4 linked regions of the Notamacropus eugenii genome follow. The protein of the gene in region 4 interacts with the protein of the main gene of each other region in a pairwise test. Links are inferred from orthologs where the notes say so. Each region holds a gene or a part of one and is shown on either strand. Other genes may lie near its edges. The genes, in order: PELO, FXR1, PPM1A and HSPB1.

Region 1 (7,580 bases), on a different chromosome or scaffold from region 4:
TTTAGAAGATCTATTTTTACTCAGGGTTAGCAACTTTGTGAAGATAGTTTTCAGAAGGCCCCTGAAAAATACTAAAATTGATCGTGTTATCAGTAGATTTCATTTACATATGTCAACTGTCAGAACAAGAAATAAATCATATCATTTTGGACTGATCAGGAGTTAATGAATGTCTAAAACTTTCCACTTGATACCCACAGACCATAAACAAAATATAATCTACCACTTCAAACAGGGATAGATCATTCACTGACATTTTAGTGAACTAGAGAATTACCTAGCAACCCTTTTCAATTATAAAAAAGTCAAACATATCTTATTATTTTTCCACATACAGGCTCTATTCAATCATGATGCAATTGCATGACTAAATGAAAACTGTTTAGAATCTAGAAAATACTGCTTTAAAGCTTCCAGTTAGTCAACTTGAAATTCTAATACTACAACTATTAATAAATTTGACAAATCAAAATAAGTAAAAAGAAAGACCACTGCACATGAAGTCAAAATTGGATTCCACTATGATCTTTGCTAATAATTACCTGCTTGGCCTCAAGAAAGTCACTTTAACTTCTCTGGACCTGAGTTTATCATTTCTAAAATAAAAGTGTTACATTTACAAAGGTTCCTTCCTGCTCTAAAACTCTATGAATAGTAGGTTAAGTAGTGCACCAAATAGCATAAAGTTAACTTTTAAGGATAAAGCACAATGGCTTCTTGGCATGTTAGAAATGATTTCATTCAATTCCTGTAATTTCCTTAAACAATAGTGTCAGTTTTTAGGTTTTCTTTGGTGAATTTTCTATCCATCTTCCAAAAAACACTGTCAGTTTAGTTATTTGTGAGGACTAAGTAAAATTCCTGCAATGCACTCTGAAAATATGAAGAAGAGATAGAAACAGTAGCTTAACCCCAGTACAGTACACAGTGAATGCAGCTGATGTAAAAACTTTTATCCTAAGTATCAATTGCATATTATTAGTATTTCTAAACCATTTTTTTCCTAAAAGTAATTGTCAATGTGAATAAGGATAAAATTAGACATTACTTTTATCTTAATTTATTTTCTAGTTGTATTGGTCTTCCAATACAAAGAGACTAGCCTGACAAGAAAAACCCACTCACGTAAATGAAACTGAACCTCCCTAGCAGCTTTCGTACTAGATTTGAGAATATTTGTTTTACATATTAGTTTATGTAGGTGAAGGAGTTGGGTGGTACATAGTGTCTTTTTAGAGGTGCCCATCATCAATCCTCTTCAGAACTTGAACCAGACTCCTGGTCAGAGAGATCAGGGACAGGGAAGCGTAGAATGGCAGCAACTCCAGTCAACTGGCTGAGCTGCTCCCCAGATACATGAAGACTAGAAAATATCCGAACTGTGCCTGCATTCTCTCTGACGCTGTCCACCAATTTCACATATCTGCTTCGGGTGGCTACATCCTGGTGTCTGAAGAGCTCGTCACTGATGAGCAGTGTGTCAATTGCCAAGGCCTCATTGGCCTTCTCCACCTGCTTAAGTCCGTAGAAAGCTCGGTCAGGTTCATGTTGCAACATCTTGTAGAAGTCATCTAAGGCTTTGACTTCACCAGCAGCCTTGGTGTCTGAGAGGCGGCTGGCCACAGTAGGATCACAAAGGGCCTCTTTCAACGAGTATTTGTGCCCAGAAGAGGCATGTACCTGGAATCACAATTACAGAGGTTGGATGAAATATTTTAGAGCACATATTCTTCCTTTTAAAAGTTAACTCATACTTGTTCAATTAACGTTAAACACATCAACCCTAACCAAAATGTCAAAACATGCAAGGCATTAAACTTATGTATTTTACACATTAAAGTTATGTATATTTACTTATGTAGAGATGCTTCATAAGGACTTCATAACACAGGTTGATCATTTAAGTCTCTTAGCATCAAACTGCCTATTGTTAAGCATACCTAAATCATTTTTCCCCTAAAAGGGTAAGAAAACATGAATGTGGAAAAAATGGGACATTCATTTTCTCTTAGTGCCAGGCTTACATTTTAGGATGACTGGACATGATTAAGAAAAAGGTCATTTCCCTATCCCTCTAAACGTCCTCCCTCCTACACAACGTATTAACATTGATGCCAACCCCTAAGCTCTAATCTGGGTCAGCCCTTCAGCTAGGCGGGTTACTGTACCTGAAGGAATTTGGAGCGGTTTTCCAGCAGCAGCTTGTTGTCCGTCTTCACGGCCTGCTGGAACATGTAGTCGCAGAACTGCTCCCGCACGAAGCCGGGGCTGGCCACCAGGACGCACTTGACCACGTCGAAGTGGACGTGGCGCTGGATGGCCTGCACCACCTGCTCGTAGAAGCGCTCCAGGGCGCGGTCGTGCTGCGAGCAGTTGCCCCGGCGCTTGCGGGGGATGTTCACCTCCACCTTGGCGCGGGTGAGGGTCATGCTGGGCGTGACGAGGCAGACGTGGGCCAGGCCCTCCTGCATGACCACGGCGGCCACGTCGGCGCTCCACGCCGGGTCGCAGGCCTGCTCGATGCGCTCCAGCACCACGCTGTCCCACTGCTTCTTGGCCAGCGTGAACTGGCGGTTGGGCTCCAGCTCGATGGTGTGGTAGGCGCCCATCTTGACGTACTCGTTCTCCTGGATGTTGGTGCCCTTGACCCGCAGCTGGCACGCCTGCGAGTCGAAGTCGATGGTCTCCACGCACAGGGTGAGCGTGGTGCGCACGCGGTTGCTGCCCACGCTGCCCGTGGAGGACTCGGTCTGCACCTTGCGGATGGTGGAGGCGCGCAGGCTGTCGCCCACCTGCAACAGGTTGTACGTGTGCCACATGTCCTCGGGCTCCTCGGGCACCAGGGTCACCTGGCCCGCGTTGTCCTTCTCGATATCCTTCCTCACCAGCTTCATGCTGGCGGCGGGGGGCGGCCGGAGGGAGGGGGGAAGGGGCCGGGCCCTGCCGCCTCCGGCCTGGCTCTGGCGGCCGCCGCCCCGCCGGGCGGGTATTCGCCTCGCGGAAGGAGGAGAAGAGCGCCCCAGAGAACCTTCCTTCTCCCGCACGCGGCGCTCAGGACCCCGCCGCCCAGGTGGGAGGGCGCCGCGGTCAAGACCCGGAGCCTCTTAGCCCCGCCGCCCCCTTCTCAGACCGGCCGGCAGCGCGGACTCAACGGGGGCTGTTTAGTGCGCCTGCGCAAGAGACCGCCTCCCCAGCCACGTCTCTACTGGCGTACGTAAAGCTACGGAAGCGGTGGACGGCGCATGCGGCGTGCGCAGGCTCACTGAGCACTAAGCCTCCGCTCGCCGGAGCTGGCTGTGTCTGAGAGAAGAGTGAACGGGTCCGCTAGCACTGGTCCCGCGGCGCCGCCGCTGCCTGGGCTCCTCGGGAGGGGCGTGGCCGGGAGGGGGCGTGGCCGAGAGGGCGTGGCCTGGAGGGGCGTGGCCGGCGTGGTCAGGAGGGGCACCGGGACGTCTCGGAAGCCTCTGCGCGCAGCCCTGCTACTACGGCTCTCATGGAGCCCCAAGCCTTGGAACTGGGAGGGCGTCATTCATTCAACATTCAGCACGCATTTATTAAACGCTTCTGTGTACCCAGCCCCGAAGAGAACACATAAAACTGAAACAAGCCCTGAACACCGAGGGCTAATAGTCTATTGGATCAAAGACAGAAAGGGATCTGTGAATATGTCTGAAAATCTTTGTATACCTGTAGTTCAGTGTAATTTTTTTTTAAGTCAGTTGGGGAGGTGGATAGAGCTTGGGACCTGGAAGATCCCCGAGTTCAAATGTGGCCTGAGACATCTACTAGCTGTGCCAGCCCAGCCCAGTCACCTAACAACCTCTCCTTCAGTTTTCTCATCTGTAAGTGGAAAATATATAATATTTTATGTAAAACATGTGCGCATATGTATACATACGCACGTATGCATGTGCATACATACACCCCCCCACACCTCCAGGACTGTTGTGCGGATCAAAGGAGATGACAATTGTAAATCTCTTAGTGTCATGCCTAGTGCTTACTATGTGCTACGTTCAATGTTAGTTACTATTGTGTATCCCCAGCAGTTAGCACAGCACCTGGCACACAGTAGGTGCTCAATAAATGTTTGCTGATTAATGATTGATTTCCTTTGTAGTCCTATGACTTCTATTTTTACGCATTTAAAAACATTCTGAGAAGAGTCCCCAGACTCCACCAGACTGCAAAGGGGGTGCATGCATGGGCTTGCTGGAAGCAGTTAGTACACTGTTAAATTTTCAGAGTGAGCATTTACACCTCAAATTGGCAAACTACAATTCAGGGCATGATTTATTGTTTGGTTGATTGCCTAGACTGAAGAGTGATGGAATATTAAAATGTCAGTGTTAAATTAACTGATGTTAAAATGCTAATAATGCAGGTTAAGCTTTAAAGTTTATTGTGGATATTATTGTATCAGATAGCTGGGTGCTAATTTTTAGCAGCATAATCCATGATATACACAAAAAAGAAAAGCAATCTCTGGTTTAAAGGGTCAATGATTTTAGTCATTCATCTAAATTCAGGGGTTCTTAAGCTGGAGTCTATATATTTGTTTTTACAAAAATATTTTGATAATTATATTTGTCTATAACCTGAGTGTGTTGGGTCATGCCCAGTTTGTCTAACATAGAGGTCTACTTGAGGGGTCTTTTGAGCATGCCCGGTTTGCCTATGGAGCCCAGTGGTTCCCTTACCACAAGGGTAGGTTTAGTATCCTTTGATTGTCTACCTGCATCTTTAAAATTGGTGAGACTGAGCAGGTTGATCTCTTTCTTTTACTATACATCTTACCCAGTTTACCCATGGTGGGGATGCCTGTAACTGAACTACAGAGTTCATCCTTTCTCTCTTTCTTTCTTCTTTTTAGAAATGAGGAATTGGGTCCAGTGAGGTTAAGTGACTTGCCCAAGGTCTAAGAGGGAATAAATGGAAGGATTCAAAGTGAGACCCTTTGGCTCCACATCCAGAGCTCTTAAGGACCATCTACAAACGTCATCGCTTTCAGGAGGGTGGGTGACATTAATCCTGACAGATCACTGCAGCCCACCATTTCCCTCAGCTCCCATGTGCATACTCAACAGATTGCCACTTTGAGCTGGGTATACATGTGGGATTTGTGTGTCAGGTTTCCAAAATAAATGGCATTACAGCTTTGCATGCCTAACCAACTAGATTGACTTTCTGATCTTTCCAACTGTCCTCACATGACCTAGTTTTAACTAATAGTTAAAAAGCACTGATTCCAGAGGCAGAAAGCATTTGTGGAATTTACCATTTAGAAAGCCTTGGAGTTACTTGACCCAGTGTCCTGGGAATTGCAGAATCCAAAACTACCAATCTGCACTTTCTGCAGATCAGTAGCCTGTGTAAAATGCTGGATTTGGAAACAGTTCTCTTCACAGTACTGTGGGGCCAAACGTTACTGGCCAAAATCAAGAAAAAAAAATGGGGGAACAATTGGATAAGTCAGGCAAAAAGTTTTCAACCAAGATCCAGATCAACTGCTCATACTACCTGGTTTCATTAGAAGATTGCTTATTGTACAGTAGTCTCTGAGTTAAGGTTAGCAACAGTGACTTTGGCCATCCAAATTCCCTTATCTCACCAAGAATGCTTCTTGTTCTGTACCTTTTCGCATTCAAAAGTCTTGCTGTAAATGCCCAGCAACATTCATCTAAATTAAGAGGTTCTTAACCTCGAGTCTATAAATTTGTTTTTACAAAAACATTTTGATAATTATATTTGTCTATAACCTGAGTGTGTTGGGTCATGCCCAGTTTGTCTAACATAGAGGTCTACTTGAGGGGCCTTTTGAGCATTCCCAGTTTGCCTATGGAGCCCAGTGGTTCCCCTACCACAAGAGTGGGTTTAGTATCCTTTGACTGGCTACCTGCATCTTTAAAATCGGTGAGACTGAGCAGGTTGATCTCTTTCTGCTACTATACATCTACCCAGTTTACCCATGGTGGGGATGCCTGTAACTGAACTGGTGAGAGGGAAAGGACTGTCCGCCCTGAGAAATGGACCTGGGAGCGCGTGTTTTTGTTCTATGTTGTTTGTTCTTAGCTGCATAAATGATCCCCCTCCCCCAGGAGTTTGAACCCTGGCAAAATTGAGGCCAGGATTGCAGACAGGGTGGTGCATCCAGCCAGCCTGGCTTGGAAGGCCAGAGAAGCCAGGGTACATGGGGACTCCAGCCCCAGAGGGATTTTGGTCTTGGAACTGAGCTAAACTATGAATCTAATTCCTTTCCCCTCTCCAGGCACTGGGGTGGTCCAAAGAGGATGAGGATTATGCCTCCCACATGATGGGGGAGTAAATTTGTATGTTTGTGATTCTACCTTTTGAAGTAAAGATTTCTGTGTAAAAGCTACTATGGCTGTTACTGGCTAATAGGAACTAGGATGCAGGGAATCACACCCCCTATATATGGGGGAATACCATTAGTTGGAGCTGGAGCCAATGGCACACACCCCTCAGTCCTCTTAAGGATACCAGAGAACCCTAAGAAAGGGGTGAAATGGTAAAATCTAACACCCTTGGCCTTCAGGTGGTAGGGGTCAGGGCTGCCTGTGGTACATGTATAATTGGTTTCCTTTCTAATCCTATATGTTTTATTTAATGAGTTTAAAAACATTATTCTGAGGAGAGGTTCATAGGTTTTACCAGGTTGTCAGAAGGGTTCATGACTCAAAAAAAAGGTTAAGAAATCTGGTCCAGGTGTTAGTCTTGATGTCTGATTGAAGTAATTCCTTCTAAGGTGTGAAACAATATTTTCTAGCTTTGATTTGATTTCTCTCCCTGCCCCTCTCCCCCAAAAAGTTTCTAATTGGTAAATATGTTGTAACCCAGAGCAGCGGGGTGGCATAGTGGATAGAGTGCTGGGCCTGGAGTCAAAAAGACTCATCTTCCTGAGTGTAAATTTGGCCTCAGACACTTCCTAGCTGTGTGACCCTGGGCAAGTCACTTAATAATGCTGACCTCAATTCCTCATCTGTAAAATGAGCTGAAGAAGGAAAATGGCAAATTACTCCAGTAGCCTTGTCAAGAAAACCCCAAATGGGGTCACGAGAGTCAGACATGACTGAACAACAACCAACTAGCTGTAACCCAGGTCTCAAGCCTGGAACATTTGTATAATATTCTTTTCACTGATAGAGAAATTTAGCCGAACCAGTTATAGAATGTCTAAATCAATGCCAAGATCTCTTTGAGGCATTTCTATTACATGTCACTGTGACTTTCCCACAGTCAGCCTCCCTAGCCCTCCCATTTGAGGAGATACAGTCCCCAATACTTTGCACATGCCAGTCCCCCATAACAAAAGGATAGACACATTTTTGAACAAGGGAGTCTTTATGCGTTCCATATCTACTCCGTCTCCACCCCCTTCCTAAAAGAACTCTTTTTCCCTGACTCAATCCCAAGGTAATACAACACGAAATGCAGTCACATGGTTCTTCCATGTCCCCTCATCCCATCCCACAGGTCTCAGTATTACAGTGAGTTAATGGTTAGGGAGATAGCTGTATTGCCACAACAAACATCAAGCTGATTCTTGATAGGCAACCCAT
Region 2 (7,233 bases), on a different chromosome or scaffold from region 4:
GGAAGACTTAGGTTAAATACTGACTTTCTTCATATATTTATTGCCTATTTCTTGGACAGTTATGAACAAAGTGTTCTCTCCACTATAAAACATAATGCAAAAATTTATAAATGACATGACTAGAGAACCTAAGTTTAATGCTGCTTCAGTGGTTTAGCAAAATCATTAAGGTGGATACACAGCATGTATTAATAACTACACCTTCCTCCATTACGCCTAATTTTTGATGGCAAATATACTAAAAGTGATGAATACAAACAAAACTTAAAACAAAAATACATAGTCTTTACCACACCAGTTATCTAGGCTATCATAACACACAACAGAGCTATTTCAATTCTTTAAATTTTCTGAACAGTAAATTATGCTATATTTTAAAGCTAATTTTACCAACTAATCATGTATTCTGGATTTCTGATCTCAGTGACAAATTATAGCTAAAATCCCAAGTCTATATATATTATATATTACCAATATATATAAATGGAGTTGATTAACAAAGAGGGTTTCAAATTTCATGTTTCCAACCTGGCATTATTTTCCTTAGAAACCTAGGACACCATGGAAACTTTTCCCTACATAAGCACAAGTATAGTATGACCTAACTTTCAATATCTCCCTAAGCAAAGTGTATCCTTTGGCAATGGTTAAATATTAAAAACCCTCAAAGCTAATAAAAGGGTGCTTTAAGAATTTTTAAAATTATCAGTGTTAAGCACTAAGGTTATTTTCTAGAGTTTTCCCAGATATAAAAAAATAGTCAGTAATACTCAGGGTTAAATTAACCCCCTTACACTTACCCTGGAACTTTTAAAACCCCTCCCCCTCCTTACTACAACCTAGTTAGGTAGGTAGTGTTGTGTATTATCATTCCCATTTTACAGACAAGTAAAACGAAATAAAATGAGGTCAATGAACCAAGCTCTGATTACAGAAGAATTGGAGTTGGGATTTCAAGTCCAGTACTCTTTCTACTTCAGATAGCTGAACCTTGAATGCTCTAATCACATTTGTCCTAGTGCGTTCCACAATTATTTTTTTTTAAAGGGTTACAGTCTGGAAAATAAATTTGAGACTACGGACAAAGAGTTTTCATCTGTATTTTCTTCTTCCTCTTCTCCTCATGTTTCATAATTCATCTTTAGTCCTTTTCATTTTTTAGCCAATTTTGTGAATGTATAAAAAAAAGTTTCATCTCTCCTAAAATATTTTACAGAGGCTTCCAAAAATGATATTCCCTACCTGCAAATTAATAGCCATAAAAACAACCTGTAAAATCACCTTGGGGAAATAACTGTTAGGAGCAAATTCAGACACGGCATTTTTCCTTCTAGCTGCCACCACAAATTAATGAAATGTACTTAGGCTAAACGAAATGTACGTAGTCCCCTTCTCCACTGCCCACGTGGTGGTCCAAGACGCAGCTAAATGTCTGAAAAAAATGCACACTATCGTTTCCTATAGAAAATAAGAGTAACTAACTACACTTCCTAGATGCACTTTGAAAACACTGAACTTTCAGGGCTAAAATACTTAAGTATTTCATTTAAACAGAACAGCAGTTCCAAAAACTCTAGCCACCGAAGTTTTGACTTTAGAGAAGGAAAGTCGTGACCCTTCCATTACAAGCTCGGCCCTGCCCACCTTTTAAGAGAATTAACTCCTACTTTGTAAACACTACCTCCCCGCCCGGGTCACCAGGCCCAGAGAAAGGATCCCGAGCCTCGCCTTCCTCAGCCACCTCCCTCATCCAGGGGACCCCAGCCGGACCCGTCCGTTCGCCGGGTACAAAGCTTTCCAAGACACAAAGGCCAGATGGAGGGCCCCCCGGGTCGGGGCTCCGGCCCGCCGCCCGCCCGCAGCCCCCTCTATTCTGGGGACGAAAACGCCAGCCCCGAAAGGCCGCGGATCCGGGGCCCGAGTCCTGCAGGCTCTGCCCTCACCCAGGGCCCCCCCAGCAGAGGGGACGCCCAGCGGGCCCCCGCTCGGGCCGAGCCGCACGGCCGCGGCCTCCACCAAAATAGCCCGGACTCTGAAACATCTGAGCCCAGGCTTAGACCGGATGACGGACGGGCGACAGCTGGGGGGAGGGGAAGAGCTAGGGGGGGTTCGTATCGATCTTATAACATCCCGGCCTACATGGGGGCAGGGCGGCAGTATAAAACAAGGCGGGGAGGGGGGAGAGAAAAAGATGGAGAAGGGGAAGTGTGGGGGGGTAGGGTTTTTCTTGGGGGGGATTCTTGCCCTGCCAGGCCTGTCCGTGTTTCCCCGGCTGCCCACACCTCCTCGCCTTTCTTTACACCCCCGATTAAACGCCCCCACCCCACAAACGGGGCCCAGGATGCTCTAAGCAACACAACGCTGGAAATAAGGGCCACCGCCCCCCCACCCCCGGGAGACATTCCGGAGATCTCCAGGCACAGGAAAGCGCCTCCGGGCGGGTTCCGTGGCCTACGCCCCCACTTCCCGGAGCGGTAGAGCGAGGCCCCGCGCGGAGCCCAAGAGGCTGGCCCAAGGTCACCGGGCCGCGGGCGCCGCCGCCGGGCCTCCCCGCCCCCTCGGCGGGCCTATGAACGCACAATCCCCGGATAGCCTGGGCCCGCCCCACCCCGGCCAGGCGCAGCGCGGCGCCCGGAAGCCCCGGGCCGGTCCCCGGCGGCTTCAGAGCCTAACGGAGCCGGGGTCCGAGACCGTTAAACCGCGGCCGCCGGCGGCGCCAGGAGGCAGGGCCCGGGCCGTGCCGCCCGCCGGCCCGCCCGCGCCCCAAGCCTGGGCCGCCCACCCCCGGGGCCGCCCCTTCCGACTTCGGCCCCGGCTCCGGCCCCGGCCTCGCGTCCACCCTCCCCCACAGCCGCCGCCCCCTTCCCCGCCCAATCCCGGCCTCGGTCCCAGCCCCGGCCCGGCTACCTTGTAGAAAGCCCCGTTGGAGCCGCGAACCTCCACCGTCAGCTCCGCCATGTTGGAACCGCAAGGGCCGCCGGGAAGGGGTTCTAGAAACTTTCCAACCAGAGGGGAGGAGGGGGGAGGGGCGTGGAGGAGGTGGGGTGAGGGGCGGGGGGGAAAACAGGGCGGGGACTGGGGATCCCCCGCCCCGCACCCCGGGGTCTCGCCGCGCCGCTGCGCCGCCGCGCCGCCGCCCACCCCGGACGCGCCCGCCCGCCCGCCGCCCAGCCGGATCCCTCCGCCCGCCGGGCCTCAGCACGCCGCGTCCGCAGCGTGACCCGCCGGCTGCCTCCGCCCGCCCGCGGCAGCCTGCGAGCCTGCTAGCGGGCCAGCCGGGCGGCGCCGCGGGAGCCTGGGGGCGGGGCCAGCCCGGGGCGGGTGGGGGAGGGGAGAAGGGAGGGGCGCCCCCTGTTCCGCCCCGCCCCCCGCCGCCACCGCGGCCGTCGCTTCGCCGCCCTCCCCTCCCGCCACTCAGCCCCGCCCCGGTCATTCTTTGGCCAGCTCCCCCACCCCGACTTGGCCGAGAACGTGACCCCTCCCCCGGGGGTTCGAATCGCCGGCCCCCCCCCACCGTCCGGCCCCTGCGGCGGAGAGGCCCCGTGGGCGCGGAGCTCGGAGGACCAGGTTGGGCCCGACCCCGCTCACCAGCCCGGGGTCTGTCCTCGTGGAAGGCGCTGTCGGTCTGAGAACACCGGGCGGCTGTCTTCAGAATATTTCTCCCCAACTGGCTTCCTCTGTAAAACTGCTCCAGTACCCCAACCCTGCTCCGAGAAGGGCCCTTCGGCGTCCGAACGAGGAGCGCAGGGCACCTCCTCCTGGGCGAGACCCCCGTCCCGGCCGGCCCCAAGGAGCCCTTCCTGGGTGCCCCCGGGGCCATTTGTGTTTGCTGGAGAGGCGTGGGCACCCCCCAGCGTCCCGGGGGACCCTCTCCCTCCTCCTGTGTTAGGGCTGGAGGACGCAGACTCTTCCAACGGGCTCCTAACAGCTTTATCTGCCTACGAAGAAGAACCTACTGCGTGCTGGGCCTTGCAGAACCGGGATGCCGTTTGCTGATGCCAAGCATTCCCGGCTCCCCAACTTTCGGGCTTTGAGGGGTGCCTAGGAACGCTGGGAGGCGACGTGGATTCGGTTCCTAGCAGAAGTCCCCTCAAACCACAGACCTCAACCCCCTTCCCACGCCTGTTGGCACTGGAGCTGTTTCAAGGGCACCCAGGGCAGTCAGAGGATCTCCACCTTGGTGATGGCATTGGGGGTTGATGGCATTCCCTTGACCTAACTGGTAGAAAACATCGCCTCCCATCTGCACAATCAGCTTGCATTCAATGGCCTTCTCCGTCCCAGACGCTGTGTAGCTGAAGCATGAGGCACAAAAATGGTTTTGTTCTAAAATGGTAGAACCTTACCTCAAAGGGAGTTTGTTGCTTTAGAGATACCTACTTAGATCAAGGATGGGGAACCTGTGGCCTCAAAGCCACACGTGGCCTGGTAAGTCCTTGGGTGTAGCCTTTCCACAGAGTCCAAGTTTTACAGAACCTTCTAGGTCCTCAACTGTGGCCCTTTGAATCCAAACTTCAACCTTCTAGGTGCTCAACTGGGGCCCTTTGAATCCAAACTTCAACCTTCTAGGTGCTCAACTGTGACCCTTTGAATCCAACCTTCAACCTTCTAGGTGCTCAACTGTGGCCCGTTGAATCCAAACTTCAAAGACCAAATCCGCTGAATAAAAGGATTTGTTCTATAAAACTTGGACTTGGTCAAAAGACAGCACCCAAGGACTTAGAAGTCACAGGTTCCCCACTCCAGACTTAGACGAGATCAAGGGAGGAAAAATCTATGTTTCCATCTCTCCTTTTTACTCTGGGCAAAGGAAAAGGATCATTTCCGTCACCTCTGCAATTTCCATTCCAAAAGTTTCTCCTTGGGCCCAGGACACATGGATTAACTTGAATCTTAATGGATAAACAGATAAGGTAATAAACATAAATCTTAAGGAAGGAAAACTTGAGGTCAAGGTGGTGGAAAAACCTTCATCTAGAACAAAGCAAAATTCAAAAAATGTGAACTGAGTGGATTAATAAAAGTAACTGGGGCTCATTTTGGAAATTAAACCTTCTGAGTCAGGCTATCACAATTTAGAATGACCTAAAACTGACATAAGGATTTTGTTTCATGTCTGTTTTCCTATTGAAGATTATGTTGTTCTTGTTTTAATAAGTGAGATGATTAAATGTTTTGTCATTTTTTTCTTTTAAATCAGCATGTAAAGAAATCTCTCAGATATGTTACTATTAATATTGAATAAGAGATTCTCTCAGTGAATAAGTATTCATCTCATATATAAGGCATCCCTTATCTGGCCAAAGACAGAGCTAGGTAGAGGCAAGGCTGAGATTCAAATAAGTGTTGAGTAAGTCGTTCTGTAACAATGGAGCCCAAGCATTTAATGAGCCTGGTGAGGGAAGTACTATTATCCCATTTTACAGAAGGGAAAATAGTCTCAGAGAGGCTCTTGCCCCGGAGGAGCACAGCTTTCAAGTGTCAGAGACAGACTTGTGAATCTAAATTGATTCAAAGCCAAAGTCCTTTCCATTCTAGATATTAGAAGACCTTGAAGATCCACCCATATCTTATCTAAAGTCTATGATTCTAAGCCCCATGTCCTTTCAAACTGGTATTCCCATGTACCTATACTCCTTCTAATCCTATCTTTTTCAGCCAAGAATTCTCTCCCACAGGATAGTGACAGATCTGGATTTTATAAATGACTCAGCAGCAGGCATAAGGAAGGATGTCTCAACTGTTTTTCCAATGGGCTGTTTGGACATCTTTTATTTTTATCACAACCTATCAGTTTGTTACCATACCAGAAAATTAGCTGGAACGTACTCACAGATATTAAAGAAAATAACATTGGGACTAATGAGTGAAGTCAGTTGAATTGAGATCGGACAATATTGTCTAACAGCTTTGGAAACAGCTACTCCTTTAGACTTCTATGATGAATAATGCCATGACTACTTAAAGGGGGTGGGAGTGAGGGTGGAAATGCTGGTTTTATTTATTTTTCTAGTTCTAGAACAAGCCCTTTATTTTCCAGAGAGTCCTCCAGTCCCTCAGATTAAGGGTCTGGCTCTACATTCCCTAAATCTGATGTAAGTTTCCCAAATGTCTCCCCTGTCATTTATGAGCCTTGAAACCTCAAGGAAATCACATAACCTTCCTGGGTTCTTTTTTGTCACCAACAAAATGTGAAGGTTGGACAGAGCCTCTGAGGTTCATTTTACCTCTTAGACTTATCAGGATGAGGATTAATAGCCAAACTGAGGAGGAGCGCCTTATCCAACATAAATGCTTCTGTCAACGGTTGAATTTCTGTTCAAATTCGTATATCAGTTACTAATTTAGCTATATGACCCAATACGAATTCCTTAACCTTTCTGTGCCAGAATTTTCAAAGGTATAAGATGGGGATGATGCCAACTCCCAGTGTCTCCTCCTTGGGTGATTTTAAGGATTAAAAGGAGATGATTATAAATTTGAAAGATTTATCTAGAAGATTATATATGAGATATATAAGAAAGATTCTATACACGCACACACGCACACACACACATACATATTTATAATATAATGACGGTTGTTGTGTCCTGTCCAACTCTACGTGAGTCTTCTTGGCAAAGATAATGGAGTGGGTTGCCTTTTTCTTCTCTATTGGGTACCCATGTTACATATGAGGAACTCATGCAAATAGAGGTTAAGTGACTTGCCCATGGTCGCATAGCTAGTAAGTGTCTGAGTCCACATTTGAACTCAGGTCTTTTTCACTCCAGGTTTGATACTCTATCTGCTACACCACCTAACTGTCCCATAATGCAGATAAAACATCATTGTTACAGCCTCAGTAAAATATAAGCAACTTGAGGTTGGAGACTTTTTATTTCTTTTTTTTCTCTAGGATCTAACTCCAGTGCCTTTCCTCTTAAGTGACTTTCATTTAATAAATGATTGCTTACATCCAGACCAAAAATCCTCCAGAAAAAAAACACACCAAAAAATCTGAACTGTCTTTACCCCCAAGGAGAAGATTTTTTCTATTAAGAGGTATTAAAGTTGTGATAATAATGAGTTCTTACCTTCATGTTTCCGTTTATATTTTTGAGACTTTTTCCCATTTAATTCTGACGGTCCCTTCAGGGAAGTAAGAATGTCAGGAGACATTATCCTCTTCGTCTTACAGATGAGGGAAATGAGGGACAAGAAGTTTAAGTGACTTGTTGTGGCTCACGCCAC
Region 3 (8,227 bases), on a different chromosome or scaffold from region 4:
TAAAGTCCTCCATTTGTACATACTTATGTGAATGTGTCAGTCTGTCTACTGAATTTGTGCTCTGGGAGGGTAAGAACTTTTTCATTTATATCACTTCTTCATTTCAAGGGTTTAACCTAGACCCTGAAACACAGTAAGAGCTTAAGAAATGGCTTTTAGCTGATGCAATAAAAAACACATACAAAGTAAATGCCAGAGAATTTGGAGTGGAGGCAGTGAGACCACCTGGGTTGAAAAAATAGGTGGGATGGATTGGGAAGGATGTATTCCAGGCAAGAGGACACACTGTGCAAAGGAAAGATGGAAGAAAAGGTGCTGTGTGAGAAATAGTCAGTAGGATATGAACCCTGGGCTGCAGAATGGGTAAAGGGAAATAATAATAAAATTTCTACTATTAATGGGCAGCTAGGTGGACAGAGTGCCAGGCCTGGATTCCAGAAGACTTATCTTCCTGAGTTCAAATCTGGCCTCAGACACTTACTAGCAATGTGACCCTGGACAAGTCAATAACCCTGTTGGTCTCATTTTTTTTCAAATGTAAAATGAGCTGGAGAAGGAAATAGGGCCTAGAGTCATATACAACTGAACAACTAAGAGCAACAACAACATCAACTGTATCAAAGTATGGCACTTACAAATGGTTTTACAAACATCTCATTTTATTCTTACAACTCTAGGAAGTAGGTTCTATTTATTATCCCCATTTTACAGATGAAAAACTGAAGAATTCTGAAATTAAGTGATATGCTCAGAGTCACACAGCTGGGATCAGTCTAAAAGAAATGAACTCAGGTCTTTTTGATTCCAGGTCCAGCACTCATCCACCCATCACTCAGCTACGTGTACTAAAATGGTAGTCTGGAGCCAGATTATTCATGGATCAATATCTCTGAATTTTTTTTAATGATGGGGCTAGTTTCATGGTGAAAAATAAAATACCAATTCAAAGAGCTCAAGCTTCAAATGAATATATTTTTGTGACTTGTTTCATATTTTAAGTATATGATAAATTACAGGAAATTTAGTAAATATGCAAATCTAGTCAAGAGAAGCAAGATCCAGCCAGAACTGGCAGAAAAACCTTTAAAATGTGGTTATAATGCCATTCATATCAACTATCAAGTGTGAACTGCTTGTACAGACTTGTAGTTTCAGCTAATTTTTCTCTAGTTACCTCCATCCTCCTACCAAGAGTTTCTCATAGCAATATCCCTAGATTTCCCAAAGAAAAAAAAATCAGCAGAGGTTCTCTACAGAAATACTTTTGCAGAGAACAAGTCACACACCAGTTTCAGAATACCAAAGAAACACAATGTTGAAAGTTTATATGTTGTATGTATGAAGGATAAGTACTTCAAATAACATTCAATAGAGAGCATAATCCTGAAAATACTTTATATAAAATCCTTCAACAAAGCAATTACGGCAAATCAAAAGAACTTCTGTCTCCCTCAAAATATGTTTAGGCTTATCAACTTTCAACCTCTTTGAGCTTCAGACTATATACACAAAATTACAGTGAAAAATGTTAAATTATAGCTAATCATGTGATTCTAATGCTTTAGAATCCTTTATTGAAAAGTGCTACAATTCTATGACTATTGGTGAAATGCATAAACTGAGGTAATCTTAACAAGATTTACAAATGTGCTCCATATGTATGAGCTAAACAAAAAAAGTTTGATATTAGGATTCTGTAATTAATTCCTCATCATAGAAGGGATGCAGTTTTGTGTTTGAATGCATTCCCTGAAAAAGTGAAACACATGATCTTATGTACGAAGTAAGAAATTGCTGGATGAGTTACACTTTTCTCAAGCATTTAAGAACCTATTCTCGAGATCAGTTTCCTCAATTCCTTAATTAAGGCTGCTGGACTAAATGATTTCTAAACCTTCATTCAGCTTTAAAAATTTCTGAGTTGATAAAGCTCTCTTTACCCACCCCCACGGTTTAAAGGCTAAGAGAAAAATCAATACAATTTATTTTAATAGATTTGGTTTCCGTTTACCTTGCAATAAACGATCGTCAAAATTTAGATACCTCACTAGAAAGACTCAAATTTAAAAGCTAGCCCCTAACTCACCTACTTCCCCCCGAAGTCACCTTTCCATCTCCTAAATGTTCTCTACGGATTCTCCCCAAAACAAATTCCAAGGCAAATATGGTCCAATCAAATAATCACCTGGAGGAAAACCATACATACTTCCTGCCCCCGGTGTAAGAACTGTTCCCACATTTGGATTCTGATCATCATCGCAGTCAAAACCTCTCCCCATCCCCCCCACCCCCATGAGTCGGGGCACAAGAGGACCAAGCCCAAGGTTGCTGGGGGTGGGGTGCGGGTTTAGGACATCAGAGCCATTTCAAAACCCAGTACTTTCCACTCCCTCTCCCTTTAGCGGGGGGGGGAAGTTAAGAAAGCCAGTGGTCCTAACAAGCCCAGGTTTTCCGGCCAAAGACCAGGGAGGTCCGAGAGAAGAGGCCAGGGAGGAGGGAGCGAGAGGGGGAGGGGGGGGAGAGGGAGGGAGGGGCCGGGGAGGGTCGCCTTCCCTTCCTCCTCCTCTGACACAAACACTCCCGGCCCAGCCCCCGCCGCCCGCCCCAGGAGGAAGCGTTAACCCGCGAGCTTCTCCCCGCGGGCGCCTCCCGAGCTCCTCGGTCCGCTCGTCTCCTCCGAGGGGGAGGCCGGGTAAGGGGGTGGGGTTGTTGGGTGTTCCCGGGAGTGCCCGAGCAGCCGCCCCAGCTTGTTTACAGGCCCCGGGCCTGGCCAGGCCGCTGCCTCCTCCTCCTCCTCCTCCCCCCCCTCCCCCCTTCAGGAGGAGCCGCCGTCTCCACCGCGCAGCCCCCGGAGCGGCCTCCCCCTCTCGGGCCCTGCGTCGCCGGCGCGGGGCTTACCGAGAGCGGCAGAAGAAGAAGCGGGTCCCCGGTCCGAGGCGGTGGCGGCGGCCCGGCTAGGGAGGGACAAGGGGAAGGGGGGGAAGGGGAAAGGGGAGGGGGGTCACCGCACGTCGCGGGCCGGGCCGGGCCGGGTCGTCCGGGAGGAGGGAAGGGGAGGGGGGAGGAGGTGGAACGTGTCTGGGACCCCCGGCTCGTGGCGCCCTCGCCGTCGCTCAGATCATCGCAGGCACTGGGACGGAGGCGCGGAGCGGGTCCCGGAGGGGAGCTGACGGCGAGTTCATCGCTGGCGGGCCGCGCCGGCCCCGTGTCGGTCTCTCCGCCCCCCCTCCCCCCACCCCCGCCCCAGCCACCCGGTCCTGCGATCCAGCCGCCGCCGAGTCCCCGAGCTCGGGGCCGAGGAAGCGCCGGGACCCGGTTGTCTCGCTCCCAAGCGCGCTCCCGCTTCTAATGTCGATGCCGCCTCCGCCTCCTCCAGCGCGCACGCTCGCACGCGCGTTCACGCCCCACTCCCTCTTCCTCCTCTCCCTACCCCCCCCCTTCCTTCTTCCCTCCTCCCCTTCCTCTCTCCCCTCCACAGCTGCGGCGCCTTGTAGCAGCTGGAAAGACCCGGATGTTGTTGGGCTGGAACTTCAGCCAGGGTAAGGTGGAGGAGGGGCAGGTTAGGAATGACATAATTCCTCTACCCCATCTTTACTTGGCTGCCTCCTCCCCGTCGCCGGCCTGCTAGGGGCTAGAGTTCGTGTGTGTGTGAGTCTGCGTGTCTGTCTCTGTGTGTGTATAGGAAAGGGGGAATGGAAGCTTCCACCTTGGTTTACACTCCGCCCCCAGCCCTCCCCCACCACCCCACGCCCCATGCACACATCCTGGCTAGTAGCATCGTCTCCTGATCTCGGTGTGGTTGAGAAAGTGCACGTTTTGTTCTGAGCCCTGTAGAATGTGGTCCCAAAATAGCCCTTCAGAAGTCTGGTGGTAGGCAGAGCTTGGTTTCTGATGAAGACTACATGAATTGTAACCGCCCACACTAGGCCTTCACATCTTCTTAAGCTAGACCTGAAACCCAAATAAACCTTATGTTATGTACCCACATCCTATGCATACCCCTAGTTTCATCTCCTTAAACACTTTTTCTTCCAAATGATTTTCTGAATATAAATACACAATGTAAAATATCCACACCAGTGTGGCACGAAATACTTTTTAACCAGCCATCCAAACAAGCAACCCTGGAAGTAACTTAAATTTTTGGCCACTCCCCTATTTAAAATTACAAATATCTGATTTTACAGGTCTTCCAGCATTTTTGCCAGTCCCATTTTTGACCCTGTAGATCCTCAATAATCCCTCCTCTGGTCAAACAGAGATACTCACCTTGTCCATTCCTTCCCGTCCCACCTACATTAATTCTCATATATCCATATACCCCTCTAAACTTTATAAGTGGACTCCAGGCCTGGAGTCAGGAAGACCTTAGTTCAAATACAGCATCAGACTCTTACTAGGTGTGGGAACCTGGGCAAGTTAGTTAATCCTGTTTGCCTCAGTTTCCTCATTTGTAAAATGAGCTGGAGAAGAAAATGACTAATTACTTTGCCAAGAAAACCCCAAATGGGTTCACAAACAATCGGACTGGACTGAAACAACAAACTTCCTACAGTTCTCTTTTTGCTTAAGCCATTGTTTTCCTCACAAGTTCCAAACACAGACATACACATGCCTCTACCGACATCCTTTGACACCCACATACAACTGGGTGTGTGCACACAAGGCAAAAATGAGTTCCTAGTAGATGTCATTCTGGAGCTGGTGAAATTCCAAATTCTCTTTGTAAGTGTTAGTCACATGTCTATATAACAAAGGACTTCAAAGTACTGAGGGTTAGTAAGGATTTTTAAGACAGGAAGGACAGAAATGTAACAGCTACTTCTGTTAAGGATGAACTAAATAACTGAAATAACACGTGCAAATAAATCTCTACCCATGTTTTCAGAAAGCAATATATGGGATGACAAGAGAATTAGCCAATGAATCAAAAAATCAAAAGCAGTCCATCTCTAGAGTATGCTTTCAATGTCTAATTTTTCTTGCCCCTTTCTGCTAGTAGCTTAACCTTTCTATAAATATGACATATGTAACAGATATGGTAACAAAATGGGAATTTTTTTTAAGGAGTAGAATTTTTTTTAGAAGTTTTACCACAAAAAAATCAACACATTTTAAATAGGGGATGTCCTGGAAAATAATTTTTAATTTTTAGAAGCCAAACACATTAAAAATAGGATTACGATTTCACTCTTGGTGGTGATTCCTCATTTTGCCTTAACTGCCAATTGTAGTACTTTTGTACACTGCTACACTGTTACAGATAAAAACTACTTTGTTAGTTTTTAGAAGGCACTCTAGCCTTCCACCAAAACAATCCATCATCTATCAGTTACTTTTTAAGCTTTTGGCAACATTGTTTCCTAAGGTTACAGTCCTTTTCCCTCTATTTTCAGAATAAGAAATTCCTAAAATCTCCAAATCATCCAATTGTGAATTGCAGGCAGAATCTTTAATAAACACAGTACCTTCTCTATCCTGCCTGTTTAGGGGGTAGAACTTCTTAGAGTGATAGAAATAGGTAAGTGTCCAAATTCAAATACCAAACGCAAAATAGACAAAATGCCACTTAATCTCCCTGCTCTAGCATCATCTAAGAATACACTTCCCAATTGTTTCTCCTTATACTGCCAAGAAAAAAAAATTTGAGTTTAAGATTCTTGAGCTTCTCCCCAAGTTAAATTTTGAATACATGATTAGAAGGAGCACCATACAAGACACAGAAGCTAGTTGGCAATAAAAATGTCGTTGTGGGAAATCACTCATAAAATCCAAACTCCATTTTTTTGTCCATTAAACAAAATCTATGTAATTAGTTATTGCAACAATTCTCTCCCTCCCCCCATAAATATCTCTTTTGGTCTTATCTTCTATTTCAAAGATTACATCATTCATCACAACCAAAGACCACGAGTACTAACTAGAAACTTATCTACCCTTTCCCTAAAAAAAAAACTTGAGACTCAATTAACTATTTGCTCCATTATCAAAAAAATTCTTACCTTATCCCAATCCCCCTCTTCACTCATATTTTCCAGAAAAGTAACTAACAGCTGTGTAAATGTGGCAAGTGCAAGAGCAACAAAATGTCCGTGATGTTAGGTAAATTTTGACTGAAGAGGATTAGCGTAGACAGGTAAGAGTAACTGCATCAATGGGACAAGCCAGAACAACCCTTCCTGAGTAATCCTAAGGATTATAGCAGTATGCAAAGAAATCTCTACTCTTATCCAATACCTTTATAGTCTAGGAGAATCTGGAACAATTACAATAACTGGTGGGAGCCAGGGAAAGGGGGAGTAAAACTAAGAAATCCTAGCATGAGAAAAAAAACAGAATGAGATTTTAAAACTCCAAGTTTGAGTTGGTCTACCATAAACTGCAAATATGCTGAAATCCTCTTTATCTAGATGTGGCTCTCAAAAATTTTTTTAGTGTAAATCAAGAAGTTTATGAGCTTTTAAAATAATACTTTATTAAGAACTAGAAAATTTTTTATTGCTTTTTGAGTAATATACCTATGGGTGAATATTCCTTTTTGTTTTTTGTTTTTTTAAAGTTCTTTAAATCTCTATTTAGTTTTTTTTTTAAGTTTAAAACAGGTTCTCACCTTTTTTTTTTTTTTTTTTTGATCATAGACTTCTCTGGCAGAGTCTGGTAAAATATGTGGATTGCACAAAATGCTTTCAATTGCATGAAATTAAGTATGTAGATTACAAAGAAAACCAATTATATTGAAATACATTATCAAAATGTTTTTTAAAAAACATTTGGACCTCAGGTTAAAATCCTTGTCTTAGCAGAAATACACAAGACTAAATGTTCATTTTCATCTAATTTTGTGGTACTTCAACAAGGAATTTTTTGACAAAATTTAATTTATGATTTCATAGCCCTGGAATGAAGTTATTCTACATTGTTTTAGGAAAATCTGGAGAAGGGGTGAAGCTGTTGTTTGTTTGTTTTCTTTTAATGAAAGGTAAAAAGACTCTGAAATTTTGCTTTAATGGTCTTCAGTTCCAAAATTTGACCTTTTATTTGCTACTCTTTTGAAAACAAAATTCATTTATTAAACATCTACATATGCCAGACTTTGTGCAAGGTGAAGAGGATACTTTTACTCTATCAGTCAGTGCCTCCAAGGAGCTTATATTCTATTAGGGGAAAATGTTTGTACATAGTAAATTATATACAATGCAGTTTCAAAGTAATTTCTGGATAGGTAGATATATTTTGTAGTATGCAGTAGCAAAGAACTGAAAACTAAAGGTGTACCTATCAGTTGGGAGAATGGCTGTACAAATTATGATATATGAATGGAATGAAATACTATTGTACTTTAAGAAAAGATGAAAGGGATGGCTTCAGAAAATCTTGAGAAGACTTGTTTGAACTGAAACAGAGTGAGAAGAACCAGGAGAAGAATTTATGCCATAGCAGCAACAACATTGTCAAGACAACTTTATAATACTTTAGAACTCTGATCAATACAATGACCAACCACAATTTCAGAGGACTCATGATGAAACATAGTACCCACTGCTGACAGAGACCTCATAGACTCAGACACATATTGAGACATTTTTGGGGAGAAGAGCTATGACCAAAGTGGGAATTTGTTTTGCCTGATCATGTATATTTATTTAAAGGATTTTATTTTGCCCTGCCCCAATATGGAAGGAAGTAGAAGGAAGAGAAAATAGATTCTTGTTAATAAAATAAAATTTTAAAAGATCTAAGATAAACATTTTGTTCAAGATACTTTGATGTGACTTAGGTCAGTTTCAACTGAAGTCTTTCTATCATTCAATAAGTACTCTGAACATAAGAGACGGAGTCTATATAAAATAATTTGAAAAATTCGTCTAATTATCTGAAGGTGTTATAACTTACCCCACCTCAAACGAAAAAAAAAAACCAAAGAACCAAAAATATTCATTATCCTGCTCTTTTGAGCAGTCAAGCTGGCTTGTTGTTGTCCTTCATTCTCAAAGAGGAACAAGATAACATCACTATGTTAGAGTCAAGCTTCAGTGTGTCCAATTGTGTCTGATCCAACCAATACGAATTCAGAATGTTCTAACACAGGTTGGACACAAATAGTCAATATGAACATTTGGGTTGGATTCTCTAAATTTCTTTTGAACTAATTAATTCTGCTTTGCTCATAGTGGAGCACAGCATCTTCTCTGATGTGAGCATGCTAAGCTAAACAATCCTATTCCAG
Region 4 (7,133 bases):
TCCTCTAGTCCTGACTGAGTGTTTTGTATATCATAGACATTTAGAGGGTTAGAGACTGGATTTGGGATTTCCTTGATATAGGAACTTCTGGGTAAAGAAACACCTAATAATTTAGGCTGACCCCTTCTCTGAACCTTAAAGTTTTAGAGTTACCTAATACATTGAGAAATTAAGTGATTTACCCAGGGTCACATAGCCAGCATGTGTTGGAGGAGGGGTTCTTTCTGGCTTCAAGGTTTGCTCTCTGTCAGGTAGGACACGCTGCCTCTCTAGACTCTTAATATATGGAGCTTTTTGGGGGGGAGGGGCGTGGTTGTTGCCCCTGAGCCCTTAGCCCTAGCACTGAACTGCTCTAGTCACCAACAATAAGCCCTCAATCTTGACATCTGTGTGCCCATCTCTAGCAATAAACCTCCATTCCTGTCATAGGGATCCATTTATACTCATACAGATCATAGTTTTACAGCTAAAAGGGACTTTTCAGGGATTCTAGCCCACTCACCTCTTCTTAAAGTTCATGAAACAAAGGTTCAAGTCAAATAATTTTGGGGGGGTCATCTAGCTAACAAGTGGCAAAAGTGAGATTTGAATTCAGGTCTTTCTGACCTCCAAGTTCACCACCAGGCTTTCCTTCTATTCTTGGGTCAAGAAGCAAACTTCCTTCTGCTTGTACAGGAGAACAAAGGACTGGGCACACACTGAGACTTCAGACCCAGACAATTGCTACCAGATCCTGCCGTCTGTCTGGAGTGGGTCTGTGTGGGGGGTGAGGTGGGGGGGTGGGGGGGTGGATACAGGAGGGGTAAGTAGGCATGGAGGGAATACAAGGGGCTATGACTGAGAATTGGAGACCTCTCTCCAAGGGCCAGCCCCCTCTCCCAATACTCACGTGTATTTCCTAGTAAAACATCTGGAGATGAATCCATGCTCATCTTGTCTTTCCTCATGTTTGCCTGGGGGAGATGGGAGAGAAACAAATGAAGACTGGGGGCCTCTGGGAGACACACATTAATACCATCCACCCTCCCCCCAGCTGTTCTCTCAGAATTCCATTAGAGACCATTATTTAATAGAAGAGGAAATAGAAGCCCAGGGAAAGGAAATGACTCTTTCCAAGATTACACAGTAAATGGCAGAGCCAGACTTTTGAACTCTGAACCTCTGACTGAAGATGCAGTGGTTTTCCATAATCCTTTGTGATTTCCCTTCTCTTGAGTGAGTTCTTGTGGGAGAGGGGATATGGGAAACCTCCACATTTAGTGCACTGTCCTGAAGTGGTAGAGGTAGGTGTGGCCATCCAAGTGCCAGGGAGCTTTTTGAAGAGGGGCATGAAGCTTTCTCTGAAGTCCTCAGTAAAGGGCTGGAAGCAGCCCCAGCCTCTAAGGCTGAGAGGTGGGAGTTGGGCATGGGAGCTTAAATGGCTCCATGGCTCTGGACAGACAGGATCAGAAGGTTCCAAAGGTAGGAAGATGGCTGAGCACAGAGGCAAAGTGGGGTTTCACCTTCCCTTGTATCTCCAGTTCTCAGTACGGTGTCTGGGACACAGTAGGCACTTTTCTACTAATGTTTAACGTGGAAAGAATGACAATCTGCCAAAGGAATGGGGCTCAGCCCTGTAGGGGGCCTAGGGGTGGAGTTTGGGTCTGGTATTTGGGGGGAAAGGTTTCTGAGCCAAGTCCCATCTAGGTTCCTTCCTCCCTCATGTGCAGCAGCAATAAACATGTTTTCTCTCTGCAAGTCCAGGCTGGGAGAGAGAACAGCGTGTGCCAACTTTCTTCAGGATGAAGGTATGAGGGAAGGATGCTAGGAGGAGCCTCTGACTAAGGCCCTCTGATTAACCCATCACCTCCTGCCCCAGGATGAGAACCCCTGGCCCAGGGTCTGGGGTATCCAGCCCCTCATGCCCTGCCCTATCCCAAGACAGCCAGGAGCTGATAGCATGTTCAATGTTCTCCCTCTGAAGGCCCAGGAGGAATGCCTGTTCTGCCCCCCAACTCTCCCTTCCCCTTGGCCCATAGCCAGGACTAACATTCCCCTACCCCTGCCCCCCCAAACTGGGCTGCCCTGGGTAGACAATAAAGTTCAGGGGCAATATGGAGAAATGGGACAAGGGGCTGGGATGTCTACTCACCAGTGATTTCTACCACGCCATCCTTGGTCTTCACAGTCAGCTCCTCAGGGGCAAAGTGGTTGACATCCAGGGTTACTCGCCAACGGTCAGCTGTCTGCTGGATCTCTGACATCCCTCGGCTCAGCTGCCTGCTGAGTGCTCTGCTAAAGGCCTGGCCGGCAGCGGGTGGGGGTGCCAGGGGCCCAGCAGCAGCAGCAGCGGGAACCTGCTCGGCCACAGGGCTGGGCAGCAGCCGGACATAGCCTGGCCAACTGGTGTGGCTGGGCCATTGATACCAGTCTTCTGGAAGGCGGGGCAGTCCAAAGGACTGGTCGAAGAGGCGGCTGCCGGCTGGGTACCAATCCCTGAAGGGGTCCCAGCTGGGGTTTCGCAGAAAGGTGAAGGGAACTCGTCTCTCAGTCATGCTGAATTCTTAGTGTTGGGTGGGTAATGCTCAGGACCTACAACTCTCCCCTGGAGCTCTGGGACTGAGTGTCTAGGCTGGGCTGGCCCCGGTTATAAAGAGCCAGAGCCAGTTATTTTTAGAAGACTGTCTCAAGACTCTATTAATGGTAATTACACTGGGGCAGAAAGCCTGGGGGGGCGGGAGCAGGGGGGCCGGGCTAGGACAACGTCCACCCCCTTAGATTCCTTGGGGAGGGAGAGAGAAAAGGAAAAGAGGGAGGGAGAACAAGCCCAAGCCCTGCCCCAGACCTCGAACCTTCACTCATCTTTCTGGAAAATGAAGGAAGAAAGAGGGGAAGGTGGTGAGAGACTGAGGGACGAGGGGGATGGGGGGTGGAGAAGAGAATCTCCTTCATCATCCCCCCTTTCTTATGTACTTGGGCCAAGACTGCCCAGGGTACAGAGAGTACGACTTTAGCTGGGTGTCCCAGGGAACAAGGTGTGACTGGATTGCCCCTCTCCCTATCTATGACACCCCCTCAAAGAGATGCCTCTCCCCATTGCCCAGAAAGGGTTGCAACTTTGCCAAGGACACACAGAACAGGGCCTTGAACCAGCAAACTTGTAGGTTCATGAAGTTTAGAGCTGGAAGAGCCCTTAAAGCCCTTGCTCCCATTTTGCTGATGAGGAAGCTGAAACTCTAGGAGTCAGCTACTCCCCTAAGGTCATCTATTGTACATTTTCAAAAGCAGAACCATGTTACTCCTAACTCTAAGCATTCACCCTGACAAGAGGATACTTGGGGAGGAGGGCAGTACAAAGCTGACCCTACAGCTAGGGGCTGGGGGTGGGGAGTGAGAAAGACATAGGACTGTCTTATTGGTACAATATCTTGAAAAATCTCAGCTTTAGGTCTCAAATGCTTTTTTCTATTCTCCCCTCCCCCTCCCTTTCTCTGCAAGGGTATTTCCTCTCCTGTCTCTCCTCTGCACTCATGTCCTGACCCTGTCCATCTCCTGTCCTTAGCCCCCACGCCAGGGGGGTCCTTTGCCCAGGCTTGAGTTAGCTCTTAGCTAGGGCTGTCTCTGTGATATAACCCTAATTCCCAACAACAGGCACACACACGTTGATCTCCCACTTCACAGGGAGGTTGGGAAACTGGGGACCCCCAAGATCTATTCTTGGGGCAGTTATTTGTGAAGCATAGCAAACATCCCAGTATAAAATAGCTTGAAGAGGTGGGGCAGGGACTGGGACTCTATCAAAGAGACACTGAGGATACATCACCCTCTTCATCTTCCAGGCTGGGTAGCACAAAGTCTTCTGTCTTTCAAAACCTTAATTTGTCCTCTGTGGACACTATAGAAAGAACTCTTTAAAACCTGATGTTCAGATCTCACCTCTGAAACAATACCTGTGTAACCCTGGGCAAGTCATTCACCGCCTCAGACCTCAGTTTCCTCATTTGTAAAACAGACAGACAGCCTCTGAAGTCACTTTCATTACTTAAGCTAAGCTGCTGTGAAGGGCTCCAGTCTGCCCCACCCCCTAACTCTTTGGGGTCTCAGTTTCCTCATATCTAAAATGAGGGGTTTGAACTAAATGACCTCAGAAGTCCCCTCCAGCTAGTTACGATTCTATGATCTGGTGACCTCTAAGCTCTATGTGAGATCTAAATCTTTGTTTCTATTACTCATCAGTGTCTCCCCACCCCCATCCCACCCCTAGGTCAAGGAGAACTGGAGAAATAGAATGAGTGAGCTCAAGCCCGTAAAAGGCTCCAAGCTCAGAGATGAGACAGATGATTGAAACCCACACCAGGTCCGTTCCCAAGGGGGCTGGGTCAAGGCTGGTGAGATCACACCTATAAAGTGCTTTGAGCAATCTGGAAGAAAGAGAGCCGAAGAGTTGAAAATATACACAGCTCACCCTGCCCTCATCTCCCCGCTGCCCCACAGTTTCCAATTTAGGAAAACAAGGCTAATCCAAAGAGATAGAACAAAATAATCCAAGCAGGATTCTTCTATCTGAATTGTTCCCACTGACTCTCTCCTCCCACCAACAGGTTACTCCAGCCAGGGGCAGGGCTGGGCTCAGCATCAGACCCGGTTAAGTTGAAGGGGTAGAAGAGGTGAGCCCTGGAATCTTTAAACAATGGATGAATATGTTTGTGGATGCCTTCATGTTTCCATTGGGCAACCTCCTCTTCTCCTGCTTTCTCTTTTCCCCAATCCTCTAGGGATGGGAAATAGTAGGGATGGAGGGCTGAGGAATTCTGATCTGCTTCTATGCAGCTTGACTCTTGGTCCTCCCAAGCCCCACCCAACCATGTTTTCTGAAAAATAGGTGAGATCAGAAACCACAAGGAATGTCAATCTTCCCTGTTCACCTAGTCCTTGGGTGGGGTCTGGGAGTCTCTCCTCATTGGGAGGAGGAAGCTTTGAGGAGTTAGAATCTCAAAGTCTTTTATAACTCTTGACAAATGCCAGCTGTGTTCTGTGGGTGTGGGCTCCAAACAACTTGACAGGTTAAATCTCCTTTCATCATCCCCTCCCCTTGTACTTTAGAACTGTCCCCACCCTTAGAAAGGTCTGGAAACCAGGGGAAGGTCACACAGCTGTCAGTGGTGAAACTGGGATTTAAAACAAGAGTCTGTATCCCTGAATCTGTCTCTCCTTTCTCCCATCCGTCCCATCCCTGCATACTCACGCCCTCTCCCCACAACCTCCTTGAATCAGTGATATCTTAACCAAAGACAGATTTGTTCCAATCACTTCCTAAATCCCTGGTTATAGTAGGTGAGTTCTTCCTTGAGAATTCTCCTTGGTCAGTACTCACTGCTCTCTGCCATCAAGAATAAGACACAAAGTGTAGCCAGGTTCTAGACGTGGGCTGCAGCCCAAGAGGGAGAGAGTAAAAAGGACATTTAGAGAAAGGGAGAAGGGCCATTAAAGAGAAAACTATGACTAAAAAGAGGAAGGATATCTCAGGCAGCCAAGGGGATCAGCTCAGAACTAGAACCTTGAGGAAGTAAAGCCATAGGGAACAAGCACTGGGGTCATGCTCAACTCTGAGGAGTGAACTTGGAGGGACATGAATCTCCAAGGCCAGCTACCCTTTGTATCTGCCTGCCATGGAACAGTCTGTCCATATACCATGAAGTCATCAGTCCAACCAGCTTAGAGTCATCTGCTCCAACCTCTCATTTTACAGAGGAAGAAACTGAGGTCAAGAGGAAGAAAGGAACTTGCCCAAGGTCACACTGTGACAATGACAGAATTGGGAAGAAAGCTCCGGTAGCAGCAGCAAGGGTGTTGGACCAGGAGGGAGAAGTGGGTAGGTATTTCAGCTCTGTCATTTACTAACTGTATGCTCCTGGGTAAATCACTTCCCCTCACCAGTGCAATGAACAGTTTAGACTAGGTTAAACTCTAAGCTGATCTGACTGATGTGATGACTTCCCAGCTCTAAATTCTCTGATCCTATAAGCCTAGATTTGCTTTTCCTACTCTATCAGGCCCTGGGGGTGGGAGGGTAGCACTCAAGACAAGAATACAAGGACTGAGCAGGCAGCAAACAACTCCCATGGCAGAACTTGGTGGTCCCCATTCCCCACCTAGCCCAGGGCTTGGTCTCTCATCTTAAACCTCCTGATGTATCTCCCTGCCCTGCTTCATCCTTCTGAGTCCTTTTCACATCCTTATCTCCTTTTAGAGACTGGGCTGCTCTAAGATGAAAAGTGTTCTGGGCAGAGAAGGTGCTGGGCATGTTTGGAATAGACTCAGGAGGGTTACACGACTTTCCTAAGGTTACACAGTAGTAAACAGCCTATCTGAGCCTCAGTTTCTTCAACTCAAAAATGGGATACTAGTAGCACTGCTTACCTAGGGTTGCTGTGAGACTCAAGAGTTCATAAAGAATCAATGTTAACAGTGTCTACTATTACTATTATTATCAATTATTAGCAGTTTGGAGGATTGGGTAGAGAGCTGGCCTAGGGACCAGGAAGATCTGGATTCATATCTTCCCTCTAACACATCCTGGCTGTGTGACCCTGAGCAAGTTATTTAATCTCTAGGAAACCAAGACTATATATTTTAAAGAAGGTGGTGTTCTGCATTGGTGGAGAGACTTTCTTCACCTGGGAGTTCCCCAGGTGAAGCTCTCCAATGAAATTACAGGGCCAGTCTCTATCACATGATGATTATAATATATTTTATAGGAGAGAGCCCTCAATTGGGAGTCAGGAGACTAATGCATGAGTTCCAGCTTTGTCACTAATACCACAACCATACTGTGGGACCCTGAGTAGGTCACTTGCTCTCTCTTGGTCCCAGTATCTAGCTCTACTCTAAGTTCAAAGCTCTCTTTGAAGTCAATTACATTTTTCCCAACATCAAGTTGCCTTATGTAAACTGAGGAGATTGGACTAAATGATCTCTAAGACCTCTTGATTGGGCTGAAACATTCTACTATGTAGAGGCAGTGTGGTGCAGTGGAGAGCAAGCATAGGCTTTTGGAAACGGAGGACTTGGGTTCCAATTCCACTTCTGACCCTTTCCCTGAGTGACCTGGGCACATAAGTCCCCTGTTTTGGGCCTCAGTTCCCTCATCTGTA

What was found.
Region 1: the proteins of HSPB1 (region 4) and PELO interact in binary tests that used the Homo sapiens proteins (3 or more experiments, as listed by UniProt). The link is inferred for Notamacropus eugenii from reciprocal best matches to the Homo sapiens genes HSPB1 and PELO.
Region 2: the proteins of HSPB1 (region 4) and FXR1 interact in a two-hybrid assay, tested with the Homo sapiens proteins (2 studies listed by BioGRID and IntAct). The link is inferred for Notamacropus eugenii from reciprocal best matches to the Homo sapiens genes HSPB1 and FXR1.
Region 3: the proteins of HSPB1 (region 4) and PPM1A interact in a two-hybrid assay, tested with the Homo sapiens proteins (2 studies listed by BioGRID and IntAct). The link is inferred for Notamacropus eugenii from reciprocal best matches to the Homo sapiens genes HSPB1 and PPM1A.

What each region holds. Positions count from the first base shown.
Region 1 is NC_092875.1:410,128,619-410,136,198, forward strand, and holds the start of PELO (protein pelota homolog), read right to left. Parts: upstream 3,225-7,580; 5' UTR 2,895-3,224; coding exon 2,169-2,894; intron 1,681-2,168; coding exon 1,249-1,680; 3' UTR 1-1,248. UniProt on the Homo sapiens protein: Component of the Pelota-HBS1L complex, a complex that recognizes stalled ribosomes and triggers the No-Go Decay (NGD) pathway.
Region 2 is NC_092877.1:343,425,689-343,432,921, forward strand, and holds the start of FXR1 (RNA-binding protein FXR1), read right to left. Parts: upstream 3,143-7,233; 5' UTR 2,959-3,142; coding exon 2,908-2,958; intron 1-2,907. UniProt on the Homo sapiens protein: mRNA-binding protein that acts as a regulator of mRNAs translation and/or stability, and which is required for various processes, such as neurogenesis, muscle development and spermatogenesis.
Region 3 is NC_092872.1:303,345,158-303,353,384, reverse strand, and holds the start of PPM1A (protein phosphatase 1A), read right to left. Parts: upstream 3,035-8,227; 5' UTR 2,899-3,034; intron 2,280-2,898; exon of another isoform or gene 2,207-2,279; intron 1-2,206. UniProt on the Homo sapiens protein: Enzyme with a broad specificity. Negatively regulates TGF-beta signaling through dephosphorylating SMAD2 and SMAD3, resulting in their dissociation from SMAD4, nuclear export of the SMADs and termination of the TGF-beta-mediated signaling.
Region 4 is NC_092873.1:51,268,552-51,275,684, reverse strand, and holds the start of HSPB1 (heat shock protein beta-1), read right to left. Parts: upstream 3,027-7,133; 5' UTR 2,535-3,026; coding exon 2,132-2,534; intron 1,788-2,131; exon of another isoform or gene 1,146-1,787; intron 954-1,145; coding exon 890-953; intron 1-889. UniProt on the Homo sapiens protein: Small heat shock protein which functions as a molecular chaperone probably maintaining denatured proteins in a folding-competent state. Plays a role in stress resistance and actin organization.